Kluyveromyces lactis: one gene and its partner. Each later gene encodes a partner of the first gene's protein in a complex. Links are inferred from orthologs where the notes say so. Each region holds a gene or a part of one and is shown on either strand. Other genes may lie near its edges.

Evidence for each region. Proteins that work in one complex are often made in the same cells at the same time.
Region 2: NUP188 (region 1) and NDC1 share a complex: the UniProt entries of both Saccharomyces cerevisiae proteins name them as parts of the nuclear pore complex. The link is inferred for Kluyveromyces lactis from reciprocal best matches to the Saccharomyces cerevisiae genes NUP188 and NDC1.

What each region holds. Positions count from the first base shown.
Region 1 is NC_006041.1:970,054-977,327, reverse strand, and holds the start of NUP188 (Nup188p), read left to right. Parts: upstream 1-2,508; coding exon 2,509-7,274. Other genes in the region: RSN1 (Rsn1p), read left to right, coding at 1-1,144; inorganic diphosphatase PPA2, read left to right, coding at 1,361-2,254. UniProt on the Saccharomyces cerevisiae protein: Functions as a component of the nuclear pore complex (NPC).
Region 2 is NC_006038.1:137,743-144,659, forward strand, and holds NDC1 (Ndc1p), read right to left. Parts: upstream 3,763-6,917; coding exon 1,942-3,762; downstream 1-1,941. Other genes in the region: bifunctional K:H/Na:H antiporter NHX1, read left to right, coding at 1-1,273; recombinase RAD52, read left to right, coding at 4,671-5,981; E3 ubiquitin-protein ligase TOM1, read left to right, coding at 6,481-6,917. UniProt on the Saccharomyces cerevisiae protein: Functions as a component of the nuclear pore complex (NPC) and the spindle pole body (SPB), probably by playing a key role in de novo assembly and insertion of both structures in the nuclear envelope.

The sequences.
Region 1 (7,274 bases):
ACAAGGTTTATCCATCTCATCAGGTGCCTTGCTGCAAATCGTGCCTTTGATCTTGTTCTTCGTGTTGGGGATGTTCCTTGATTCTACTGCAAGAAAAAAGTACGCTAGATTCACTTCACTATCCTCAATGGCGTGGGGTACTACATTCCCTGTTTACACTAACTTGGCTGTTATCACTTTCTCCTACGCGATCATCTCTCCATTGATCTTGCTGTTTGCATGTGTTGCATTCTTCCTATTATACGTTGCTTACCTTTACAATTTGACGTATGTGTTCCAGGAATCTCCAGATTCCCGTGGAATCCATTACCCAAGGGCTTTGTTCCAAACAATGGTCGGTTTGTACTTGGGACAAATTTGTTTGTTGGGTCTCTTTGTTGTTGGTAAAGGTTGGGGTCCAATCGTGCTACAAGCCATTTGTCTAGGTGTCACTGTTTTCGTTCATCTAAACTTCAATTCAGCATTTGACCATTTAATGGCCTTTGAACCTGTTGATACAATGAAGGCATTGGATGGTAAATCAAACACACCATCTTACATCAGAGATTTCGTTGAACCAGAAAAGGATGAAATCAAGGAATTGCCACCATTCCAAATCAAGAAGTACCATCCTCGTTCCTCGTCACAATTCGACCAAAGAACTACATCCATTCTGAGTGACAACACTTACGAAATCCAAACTGGTGTCTTTGATACCGATAATGAAAACACTTTGAACACAGTTCCATTGCTAGCAGACGGTGACATGACTCCAGTGCCACCAGCTCCATTCTGGAAAAGGTTCTTACTCCCTCACATCTACTATTCTTACAAGGCTGTGAAAACAAGATTGCCCGAGATCTACAATCTACCAGATCCAACAGAAATAACCGATGAAAAAGAAATCAAGCATGCATACGATTTCCCAACAGTCTCAGCTAAATGTCCATTCCTATGGATTCCTCGTGATCCATATGGATTCTCTACAGTTCAGATTGCTGATTTAGCTGGTGTCGTTGAAATTTCTGATGAAGGTGCTCGTTTCACAGAATCTGGCTCTATTGAGTGGGAAACTGCTCCACCTTCTTACAATGATTCTCAAATGCAAGTTGTATCTAATCCGTTTGACGAACAAGATGAAGATAATCTTCAGAGAGAGGAATAATCGTCAAGATCCAATCTAAGCCATTTTCTCTTACCATGTTGTGTAAGCTTTTAATTTATCTTTTTGTAATATTTCCACTAATCACTGATTAAATAATAATTTGTCTATTAAATTTCAAGCTTACCGAATTACAACCAAACACTAAGGAATCGTGGTCCAGTCGAGTCTGGGTATCCCACAGAAAGGATTCATTCCATAGTTGCTGTGTGGGAATTGATGTCTAGAGATATGAGAAGGGCTTCGCAACATTTGAGGTTGATTGGCAACCATTTACATGCTAGAAACTACCACAACGTTTTGGTTGGAAGCAAATACTCATCGTCTTTTAAACAGTACTTGCAGCTGCCAAACGGTGAAATTGGGTCCTATTTCCACGATGTGCCATTAGACTTAGATGTTGATGCCAAAACATGTAACATGATCGTAGAGGTTCCACGTTGGAGTAATGGGAAGTTTGAAATCAGTAAGACCGAACCATTTAACCCCATCACACAGGACATAAAGAAAGGCAAGCCACGATTTGTCAATAACATTTTCCCTTACCATGGATACATTCATAACTATGGGGCTATCCCACAGACATGGGAACAGCCACTTATTGAAGTATTGCCCGGTTTCAAGGGTGATAATGACCCATTGGACTGTTGTGAAATTGGTTCCAGCATCGCCAAAATGGGAGATATCAAAAAAGTAAAGCTTCTAGGGTCATTAGCCCTCATTGACGATGGAGAACTCGATTGGAAAGTCATTTGTATCGACATTGAAGATCCCATTGCTATAAAATTGAACAAGTTGGCAGATGTAGACACTGTTATGCCTGGTCTCTTGGATGCAACTAGAACATGGTTCAGAGATTACAAGATTCCTGCTGGGAAACAACCTAATGTGTTTGCATTCGAAGGTGAGTACCAGGACCAAGCATCTACACTTTCTACGGTACAAGAATGTCACGAAGCCTGGAATGCTCTAGTTAGGGGAGAAATTAAAGCAGATGGATCAGAGGCCGAGATTCCCTCCATTGTCAGAGCGGGAACTCACATAAGAGTTGAACCTAATCAACAAAATGACACACCAATCCCACAAGAAGTGGACAAATGGTACTATGTATGAACTTAAAAGCAGTCAGTGGTCAGTAAGCTTCTTCGGTTAGGTTAACCTGGCACAGCTCATCTCCTCTTATTATGCCTTTATGATATACATGTCCAATATTTTGATGTTACCCTCTCTCATATGTAGTGCAAAATTTTAATGTAAACAAAACTATATTTAATGAAACTATTCGATCTAACAATTAAGACGATGAGACAGTGGTACAGATTCACGTCAACTAAAGGCTATTGCGCTGGCCAGGTGTACCGTGCAGCATGTCATCTTTATCATTTGCTGGAATTTGTGCGTTTCTCCGCTCTGGGGAATACGATAAGGTACATAATGAGCCTACTTTCCAGGCAATCGATAAATTCTTGAAGGACAACGAAGAGATACTGGTTCATCTTTCGAGGTTTACCTCAGTTGAAAACACTGATTCCGTTGGAAAACAGCTGCAATTGAGGGGTTATTCATATAATGTGACGGTAGAGGACGAAAAATTGGCCAATGAGCTTTCAATTGCGTTAAATGTACATCAAAAAGAGTGTTTGAGAGTTATTTCGCAGACCAGGACCAGGTTCCCAGATTGTCCAATGGAAAAAGATACCATCGTTAAACAGATCTTACATGAAAGAAACTGTGTCTTGGATACAACCCTCGTTTTATTAAATCATGATTCTTTCCCAGTTTTAAAGGGCTCCATGTTACAACTTGTCTACAAGAATAGGTCCACAATGATATCAGAAGCAATTCTTCTGGTCAAGAACTGTGTAGCACTTATCGGCTCAGCAGAGCAAAATGATTCTTATAAGAGCTCATTAATGTCGTATGATCTTATTTATATTACAAATCTATTGAATTTGATCGCATTCGTAAGCTTGAATCAACCAGTGGGTCTGGAAATTATCACAAAATGGTACGAGTTGCTCGAAGAAACACAGTATTTCGCCATACTCAAGGATAATAAAGATGTCCCATCAGAGATCTACAACATGGCAAATTCTTTAATGATAATGGATACTATTATAATGACAGGATATAATACAAGCGAAGACACGATAGACGTAAAATCGTCTTTTTTTAATGACGCTGCGACTTTCAGAAGGCTTCTAGATCTCATAATAAACACAGATCCGCCAGCAATTATTGTATACTACTGGTCTTTCATCTTATATTCCAAATCGTATCTGTTAGAAGAAGATCCTGAAAATAATCTGGAATTCGTGCAGCAAGTCTTCAACTCACAACCCATTTCGAAGCTAATCAAAGAGTTTGCCCTTACTGCAGAGAATGAAAATGTTTTCGAAGAGATTTCTAAGGTTTCACAAATATTCAAAGATCAAGCCTTCTTTGCGGCTATACTGACTTCCTTCATCACTTTTTCGTTGTATTTCGTTCCAATCAGTATAAAGACTTCCAAAATGATCAAAACTGTCCTCAGTAACGCACCAACTCATTATGTGGAAAAGTTCTTGACAAACAAAGAATTTGAGAAAAAATTCTTCTTGATAAAAACAAAGGCTCCGCTGTTGAAAGAGTCACTCATTCCAATGATAAACATAACCTCAGCGAATGCTGAATTTGCAAATTTTGAGTGGAAGGAACTTCCCACCTATGTCCAAGAGGTTGTATTGGGAAGTCTAGAGTACGACTTAGCTGATGATGCACACTCAACAGATTTGATATCCATAAAGAGTGAGACCTTTGCTCGAGTACCGTTGGAACCTAGTGGGAATGTTCTCTTACCAATTCCGAAGGACACGAAGGCTAAGATCTTACCTTCAGTAACTAATGATGACGTCGTGATGTTCTTGTATAAATATAACGGTTGGTCATTATTGGGTAGAGTCCTTCAAAATGCATGCGATAGATATCTGTCCACTTCATCTGCTGGTGTTCAAGATTCTGATGTTCAGGAAATGATATTATCAATGCTGGATCTAATTTCTAGTGTTATAGGAAGTGGTATCTCGGTGGAGAAATCGGCCGATATTCTACTACAAATGTCTACCTATCTTACAGAAGATTACATTTTTGATGTTATTTTCAAAGTCTTCGAACAATCTTTGCATTTAAGAGACTATGACGTTATTGATCATTGTCTCAACCTACTCATCAGTTCCATAGATGACTTTTCTCAGTTCGTATGGTCGCATTTAGCAAGATCTGAACTCCTTGATAGGTATGGCAAATCCGGATTGATTTCTAGTGTCTTGGGCACCATGGAATTACCAAATGGAAACTACTCAATAACAATCAAGATTATCAAATTGGCGCAACAATTAGTTCTAGAATCTCTAACACTAGAGACAGAATTCCCAGAAAATCTGAAAAAGGAAATTCTTTCGAAATTCTTTCAGCATTTCATACATGTTTATGAAAGTTATCAATACTGGAACTATCGTTCCATAGCTGAGAAATATGAGCTAGGAACAAACTTAACCATCTTGTTTACGACTGTCGTTTACAATATTTATGGTATCGATCCATCTAATCCGCCAGAAACTAAAATTACTAAAGTCCTATCATCAGCTGCAAACGACATAACGAATCGCTTTTTAAGTTCTGACTCACCAGATGTAAGAACAGTCACTTCCATACTGCATGTTCTATTATCCAGCAACTCATTGGAAGCACTCTCTATCGGAAATGAAGTCTTTTACAATAAGTACAACCAATGTTTGCTGAAGTCTTATGAATTAGCAAACCTTTTAATCTCCGTCCGTGCAATGTTACAATTACCTCCCAGCACTCTGGAATCACAAATATATGGCAACTTGCCGAAGTTAATTGACATTTACGCCTTACACAATGATTTAAGAAATCCAATAATCAAACTCATGACGCACCTTGTGAGAGCCCCTTGGGCCGAAAACTTCCCATCTCTTTTATCGTATCTGGGCCAAAAACACTCCAAGATGATTTTCAATTCGATCTTGTACGACCTCGCAAGTACAATCGATGATTATCAATTTCTGAAGAGTTTATACAGATTCTTTTCTTCCGTTATGGAAGGAAAGCAGGATGGTTTCTCTATTCTTTTAGTTACTGGCGAAACCATATCCGTTGGCTCTTCCCCAAAAAAATCAGAACCATCGAATAGCGCCTCTGAAACATCAATTCTTTCTCTCCTTAAGAAAAATGTCTTGAAGCTAGATTGCTACCCGGAATCTGTGGCTTCTCGACTTCTTGAAGCAATCTCATATGCATTCAACTCTTGGGCTGCTGCAAGGAATAATACAGCAGATAAAGAATTTATAGATTTTCTCGTCAAAAGGCTAGAAAAGTTCGAGGACAAGTTGGCTCCCGATTCGGTTGAGGCGACGATTAAATTATCCAGTCACTATCGTCTTCAAGCGAGGATTGCTGAAATATTTGCCCTTCATCTATTCACCTCTTCACCTTCAGATTCCACCATAACAAACATGTTAAATGGACCCCAACTTGTTGATATCGTTAAGAGGATATTTTCTATAGACGGATATGATAAAACTCTTCATTTGACTCTCGCAGAGGAATTCAAAAAGATTTGGCCTCATCTGGATATAGAAAAATTCGCTATTTCACCACTTTATAGAATCGGTAAGGCGTACCAGGCGAACATATATGACATTGAACTTCTTGATCAGTTCTTCTGTTGTGAAGAAAAATGGAGAGGGAACGGGTCCACTCCAGGGTTTAGAGAACAAGTTATAAAAAGCTCTATCAACTTACAATATGTGTCTTTCCAAATTTCAGCAGCAAAATCATGGGGAGCTCTTTTGACCGCATTCATTAAGAAAACTCCAAAGCCTTTACAAGCTTCATATGTCGATATTGTTACCCAACTACTCGCACTAAATGTTGAGCATGGTGTGGAGGCACCTATCTTCTCTGAAATATACCTCCTAAGAATCGAATTGGTGTTTTACATACTGTATTCATTCTTACAAACTTCTATGAAGATACCTGAGGATAAGCTTGAAACTCTATTGTCACAGCTTTTGGCAATTTTAAAGTCTAAAGAGGTAGATTACCTCGGAAATATCGCACAATCGAATAAGAATAATCAATATAGACCTATTCTTCGTTCGATTTTGATGTTGTTAACTTTGGCAAAACCTTACCCTATGTTTTCAGAAAGATATTCTGATAGTCTATTGGAAGTCTTCGAGTTAGCTTTTTCAAAAGGTGTTAATTTGATCTTGTCTTCTATATTATTCTCATTCACAATAGCCTCCAACAAAGGTAAAAAAGTTATTGTGCCAAATCTTGCCGACAAAATTCAAGATTTGTTACTATTACTATCCCTTTTCACAAAAATCAAAGAACTGAACCCTTCGACATCCTTTAACGCTGTATTGGCATCCTCGCTAAATGAATTTGGAACCTTAAAATCACTTTTGAATCTTTACTACAGTTCATATCTTTTCAGATCTCATGATGAACCCTTATTCGCGGAGCTAACCCTGTCATTCATTTCTGAGCTTGTCACAATTGAAGAAGTTGCACAAAAGATTATAGATAACGGGCTCTTCTCTGTGTTCTTGGAAAGTCCGATTTCGGTGTCAATTCAACAATCTGGGGCTCGCCCAGAATTATCACCAAGATTGCATAACATATGGTCCAATGGCATCATATCGATTATTCTTCAACTATTAAGTAAATTCGGATCTGGAATACTTTCGGAAGTGTGTCTATTTGTTTCATATTTCTCCAAACAAATAGATCTTGCTGTGGGGGGCTGGTCGTCTGACTCACTGTCCATAACTCAAGCATATATCCAGGAGACTTCCCAGATAATTCTTTTGCAGAAAATGCTAGATAAACTTGAATATCAGCGTTATTTGTCTGTTAATGGTTCCAAATTGAAGGTCATTGACGAAGAAGAGATAATAGAGTTGTTCCCTGGTTTAGACACTAGCTCTGAGAGAAACGATTTGGCAAATGTATTGAAACATTTGTTAACTCACCCAAAGTATATGAATTCTCGGATCATCGCGACAACCCCAGACAAACAAAAGATGATGGAAGATGAGGTCTATAGAAATCAGCTTCTACA
Region 2 (6,917 bases), on another chromosome or scaffold:
GTCAGCAACCGATCCAGTGACTATCTTGTCGATTTTCAATGCATACAAAGTGGATCCCAAACTTTACACTATCATTTTTGGTGAATCTCTACTTAACGATGCAATTTCTATTGTCATGTTCGAAACTTGTCAGAAATTCCATGGTAAAAAATTACAATTCAGTTCATTCTTCGAAGGTATCGGAATGTTTATGATGACTTTCACAGTATCCCTGTTGATCGGATGCATGATTGGGATGCTTGTCGCATTGTTTTTGAAGCACACTTACATTAGAAGATATCCACAGATTGAAAGTTGTATCATCCTTCTAGTAGCTTACCAATCTTACTTCTTCTCCAACGGTTGTCATATGTCCGGAATCGTATCTCTATTATTCTGCGGCATAACTTTGAAACATTACGCATATTATAATATGTCCAGAAGAACTCAAGTTACTTTAAAATACATTTTCCAACTACTTGCAAGATTATCAGAAAACTTTATCTTTATTTATCTTGGCCTAGCTTTGTTCACCGAAGTGGAATTGGTGTACAAGCCAATGTTGATCATTATTACAGCAATATCCATATGTGTGGCACGTTGGTCAGCGGTACTTCCGTTGTCTAATTTCGTTAATTGGTTTTACAGAATGAAAACTCTCAGATCAATGGGTTTGAATGCGAACTCTGAATCCGAATATTCAATTCCAGATGAAATTCCTTACCAATACCAGATGATGGTGTTTTGGGCTGGTCTTAGGGGTGCTGTTGGTGTTGCATTAGCCATGGGTATCCAAGGTGAATTCAAATTTACCCTATTAGCTACTGTTCTTGTTGTTGTTGTTTTAACCGTTATAATTTTCGGTGGGACTACAGCTAGTATGCTAGAGATTCTCAACATTAAGACCGGCTGTGTAGATGAGAATGATATTAGTGACGATGAATTTGACATTGAAGCACCCCGTCCAATCTCTTTAGCTAATAGCAGTTTGAACTTGTCGACAGACTTCAGATCTGATTTCCCACCGTTGGCTACAAGCGTCAATGCCGCTGCAGGTATAATATCGCCCGAAGACACTCCAAGTCAACAATTAAATGGCCCGAGGTTCTCATTTGATGGTGCTCAAATAAGAAGCTCCGTTGACAAAATTTTCCAGCAGGATCAATGGTTTGCAAACTTTGATGAGCAGGTCCTAAAACCAGTATTTTTGGACAATAATTCCGCAATACCTTCTCAAACAAATACTAAATCATCAAACTCCCCAAATGACATGTCAGTTCGACGGACGTTGTGATTCATTTCTAACATTTTACAACTGCATAATATGTTGACTTTATGTGTATATACTTTTATGAACAAAAAACTGGCAAGCACTAAATAGATCATGCATTGTAAGGCACTTAGTCGAATTCTTCGTATTGTAGTACATCTCATTATCATTTGTTGTTATCCCAGTACAACACTTCTTGAGCAGATACTACAGACGTTGCTATTAAATTTATAAGACTTACGGTTGGCGAGAAACGTTAATTGTGCACGAAAAGCTAGTGCGGATCGATGAATTGATAAACCGATGGAAAAAGTCTTTTTAAATACGTAATGACCTTTTTGTAAAAATGAAGATAACGTTTGTATGCTTTGGTTTGTATTTTATTCATACGTAATGCTAAAATAAGTTTGTTATAACAAAAGTTCTGCTGTAACTCAAATACTAACCTCAATGGTCATTATGATCTAGTGAAGGTTAATGGAAAATAAAAACATTTCATGAATAATTCCGACTTCTGGAATAAGAAGCAAGTATTCTCCGCTCGCTTGTTCAGTACATGTAACATCTTCCTATAACATACCAGAAGTTTGGGGTAGATTTCTTCTCTTTTATAATGAAAGCAATATAACTTTTGAATATTATTAGAGTAACATGCTTCTGTTGGGAATAATCCAATTGATGCCAAGCTATGTTTAAATATCTTGTGACATTTTTTGCAACCACTGTGTTAACTTCACGACATCTTCGTCCAAATAAACATCGTTAAGGAGAGTGTCATACTTCAAAACTATTTCCAAAAATGCATTGATACATAAGTCATACAACACACTTATGACATCATTCAAATCCTTTTCTTGTTTTCCATCCAATATTAATTCAGTAAACGAACCTAAAGAGCCAATAGATCTTTCCAAAATTTTTAATACTTCGCCGACTGAAGATACGACAGCTCCTTTGGGATCTTCATCCACAGAATTTACTATAAAACCCATCATCGAATACACACACTCGGCATAGCATACTGGCACAGGACACAACTTCTCAGCTTCCCTTACTTTTGATATATGGTAAAGTTCAAACAATGAGAGCTTCTTGTTCGTGTTATCAGTTGAATCGATGGTGAAAAAGTACTGACTGATTCTTCTCTGTATCCAATTCCAAAGATCAGTCAAAACAGAAAGTACTGTAGGTTGTCTGGTAAAAATTGCTTGTTTGTATGAGTCGATAAATCTCGGAGGATTCGGACTTCTTTGGGTATCGTTGTTTTTGAAAACATTGCTGTCCTCTAAAACGATTCTATGTGAAGCCATTGATGGTAGATCCGAATTTATTTGTTCAGTAGGAGGAGCACCAGGTAATCTGGAATCCTCATCATTATTTTGTTTTCTGACAGTATGGTTGGTACCGAATAAATGATCTACCGATCTATTGATAGGGAAAGATGGTTTTGTAGGCTGGGGATCAATCTCTTTCTTCAATGTAAGCAAGAAATCGGATACGTTATAGTTGGTTTCTTGAATAACAATCATACATTCTCTAAGTATACCGGGCCAGATCAAGCTATTTCTATAGGTATTGTGGTAAATTGGGAGCCTCAACTCCACATTTGCACAAGTGGCTCTGTAGGCCAGCTCTTGGAATGCAGTAAGTTTAACAAATAATTTTTCTGATCTCAACCCAGTGATCAATGTCTCCATTGAAGCTGGAGATAACGAAGAGATTGGTTTACCTTTATGCAAGCAACCAATTGATAGAAAGGCGTCGAAGCCAATGTTTGTAAAGTCCCATGTTTGCAAGATTAACAAGCATATACAACAAATCCTAATATGGGACCATATACCAGAGCCTAGATGTCCGAATAAAAGCTTTAATAGAATTGGAGTAATTAGAAAGAGTATTGCAGTTAACACAAGACACTTCAAAAATGAATCATGGATTCTTGAAGCCATAAACTTCTGAGGATGTTGATGTTGAGCACCGTAGTTGAAAGTAAGTCTGTCAAGATCTAAAAGTACATGTTGGATGGAATACAAAAAAGGTACCATAAACTGACAACAAAATTCGTAATGCTGTGAATGCTTTCTTGAACCAGTACCTGGAGTGAAAAAGCAACAGGAAAATGTCAAAGAAAGGAAGAATGCGCTCACAACGTAAACTAAAAGGTACGTGATCCATTTACGGGAGACTAATTGGCCATATGATGCGCTTATCCAGCTCGTATATCCAAGGTAATTGACATGAAGATAGTTTTTCCTGGTAATAATTAGCATCAACATTGCAACATAGAAAGATAATATTTTTACTGGCCATAACAGTAATTTCTGAGATTTCGACAACTCCCATTGTGTCGTAATGGTTGTAATTAAACCGACAAGTACCGCTGTTTTGAAGAGTAAACCCCTGGCGAAATTATTAAACCTGCTCTTGCATACCCCACTGAATATCCGATGGTAAGTAAAACGAGAATCACGCAGTTGCGGTGCAACCGGTCCTAAACTCTGCACGTAAGACATCAATGAAAACAAACCAATCAAAGATGAACACAGGTAAAAGTACAGCCTGTATAGCAATAAGCTGAGTAATTTTAGATGCTTAAAACAGACAAAGGTCAATTGGACTTTAGGACAATCAATTACCTTCCGAGTTACTTATATTATTTATTTGTATATCATCTCAAGCATTTTAAGTTCTTAACAGGTTGTGATCTAGAGATCAGGCGTCATAAAAAAATTAGATATTCGGGTAACCCTCTTATGCCAATGTCATAGTTGATTTGCATGGTAACTCGAAACTAAAGACAATCACCTCCTTGTCAGTGAGGTCAGTCTCAACATATAGACGCTAAACGCGAACCTGATGATATCGTAAACAGTTGTTACATGTAAATAAGTAAATCAACTAAATATGTGTCATATTCTCTTTCTCTTTCTTGTAACAATGGTCTCGTGTCAACTTTAACGCTTAAAAGTTGATATTCTTGTCCAAAAGATATATACAAATATATACAAGGTCACTCATAGAGTACTGAAAATATTAGAATGATTTGCGTCGCCACTTTCATGACCAATGTAAGTACTTCTATGACAGCACAGGTACTGCCAATCCTATAATGATAATGTTAAGTTTCATTGCCATCCTTTCAAAACTCCTTTCAATTTACATGGCTCTCGCGTCTTTTAATACCGATAGAAACAGATCTTTTTCAAGTTTACGTGATTTAAGCTACTGCTCTGTTTACTTTTTTCAAATTTACTGTATTGATAAACTAAAACTTAAACAAACTAGGTCAAACAGTTAACGATTTTGCGCTGTTGAATTGGACAGGATACCACCTTGCTTGTGTCTTTAACTGGTAGAAGATTTTGTGGATTGGTATATTAGTGCGACTCGCATCAATTTTCCTTTTTGCAGTTTGTTAGATATGGAGGATACAGGAAGTGGCAAGAATGGTAAAGATGACATTCAAACGAAGTTAGATAAGAAGCTAGGACCAGAATATATTTCAAAGAGAGTAGGATTTGGATCCAGTAGAGTAGCATATATCGAAGGCTGGAAAGCAATCAATCTAGCAAACCAGATTTTTGGGTATGACGGATGGTCTACGGAGGTTAAAAATGTCACTATAGATTTCCTTGACGAAAGGCAAGGTCGATTTAGTATTGGATGCACCGCTATTGTTCGTGTTTCGTTAGCCGATGGAACGTTCAGAGAGGATATTGGGTATGGAACCGTGGAAAATGAACGGAGGAAAGCCAGCGCTTTCGAGCGTGCCAAGAAATCTGCAGTGACAGATGCGTTGAAAAGATCGTTAAGAGGGTTCGGAAACGCTCTTGGGAATTGTCTTTATGATAAGGATTTCTTGGCTAAGATTGATAAAGTGAAGTTTGATCCCCCAGATTTTGACGAGGGAAACCTTTTCAGACCTGCAGATGAATTAAGTGAGATGTCAAGATCAAATATGGTTGGAGATGCGCATACTGAGGGACCTTCTTTGAAGAAAAGAAGCCTAACAAATGAGGATAGAAATGCCGTACCTTCTGCACCTGCACAGCAAACGTACCGGTCAAATAATCATACAACACAGAAAAGAGCACCAAAAGCACAAGCAGTAACAGCATCCGCATCACCGAATGAAGAAACTAGCAATCAACAGCAGGACCCTGATGATTTACTTGATGATTCTTTCATGTTTAGCGACGAAATACAAGATGACGATTTACTCAATATGAATACGACAACAAATAACAAAAATTCTACTAATAGCAGTACAACCACAACCACAATATCAGATGAAGCTACTGGTATTATCTCTCCTGTGACATTTGTTACTGCTAAAGCTGCCACATCACTGCAACATAAAGATCCCATCCCGTCAGGATCTATGTTTGACCCTAAATTTCAAGCCCAGTCCATAAGACATACCGTTGACCAGTCAGTATCTACACCAGTCAGAGCTACTATTTTAAAAGAAAAGGGCTTGGACAGTGATAGGTCCAGTATCTACTCCAAGTTCGCTCCTAAGGGCAAGGAACTGTCTGGCACAACGACAAATTCTGAACCATATGTTGCTGCTCCCCAAACGAGCGCAACAGAAAGTAACAGAAGTACCCCAACAAGATCAAATGCACAACTAGCAGGACCGCAACCTGCTCCGCAACTGCAAGGTCCTCAGCGCACCCAACTTGGAAGACCTCGTATGCTGCAACAGCCAAACAGAAGAAATGTGTCATAAAGTGTCTTAGAGAATAACTAAAGTCATCGAATTACCTGCCAAGATGAAAAATCATAGAATTTAAGAAATGATAAATGTTACGGTTTTGCCACATCTCAAGTTTGTAACCTACAGGTGTTATTTAAATATCCAACCGCTATATGTATAATTAGTTACTCATGCCTAATCTATATTCACTTGCACCCTACGCATTTTTTATTCCACAACATGAGATCACACTCTACGAAATGAAAATAATTGCGAGCGTTAGGCATAAGATCAATTGAGGATAACTATTTAATAAGATTTCACTATCAAAGGGCAGATATAGACAATTAATCGCCTAAGAACACGTCTCTGTATCACGTTCCAGCTTTCCAGAACGTTAATTTTTGAAGGCTACCTTTTCACTTTGTGTATAACAGCCATTCTGTTTTGAGACCTTGGTTTTTCTTTCAAACAATAGGAAGAGCAAATCCCATCGCAAGAGGTTTTTAGTTTGCCATCATCAACACAAAAGATGGCCGTCTTAACGAAAGCTGAAAAGCTACGGAAAGAGGAAAATGCGAAATCGTTCAAGCCGTTGATCAATGACTTAATTAACTGTGATGGTACTGATTTCATCAAGAAGTTAAAAGATATTAAAGAATGGGATCGTTCGAGAGATGATTTGTACATTTGGATTCCTGTTCTGGATAGAATCGATGAAATCTTATCAAATGTACTGAAGAAATACTCCTATGATACTACAGACTGGAAGAAAAATGGATGTAAATTGGAACTAATGAACACAACAGACGAAGACGAAGTATGGGAGTATTTGGCTTTCACTACTCGTTTACTCAATAATACTATGAATCGTGGGATATACAATTCCTTGGAGGTCATGAACTCTCTATTAAACTGTCCTAATTTCAGAATTAAGCTCGGTGCTGCTAGAGTCATAGCAACAATTGG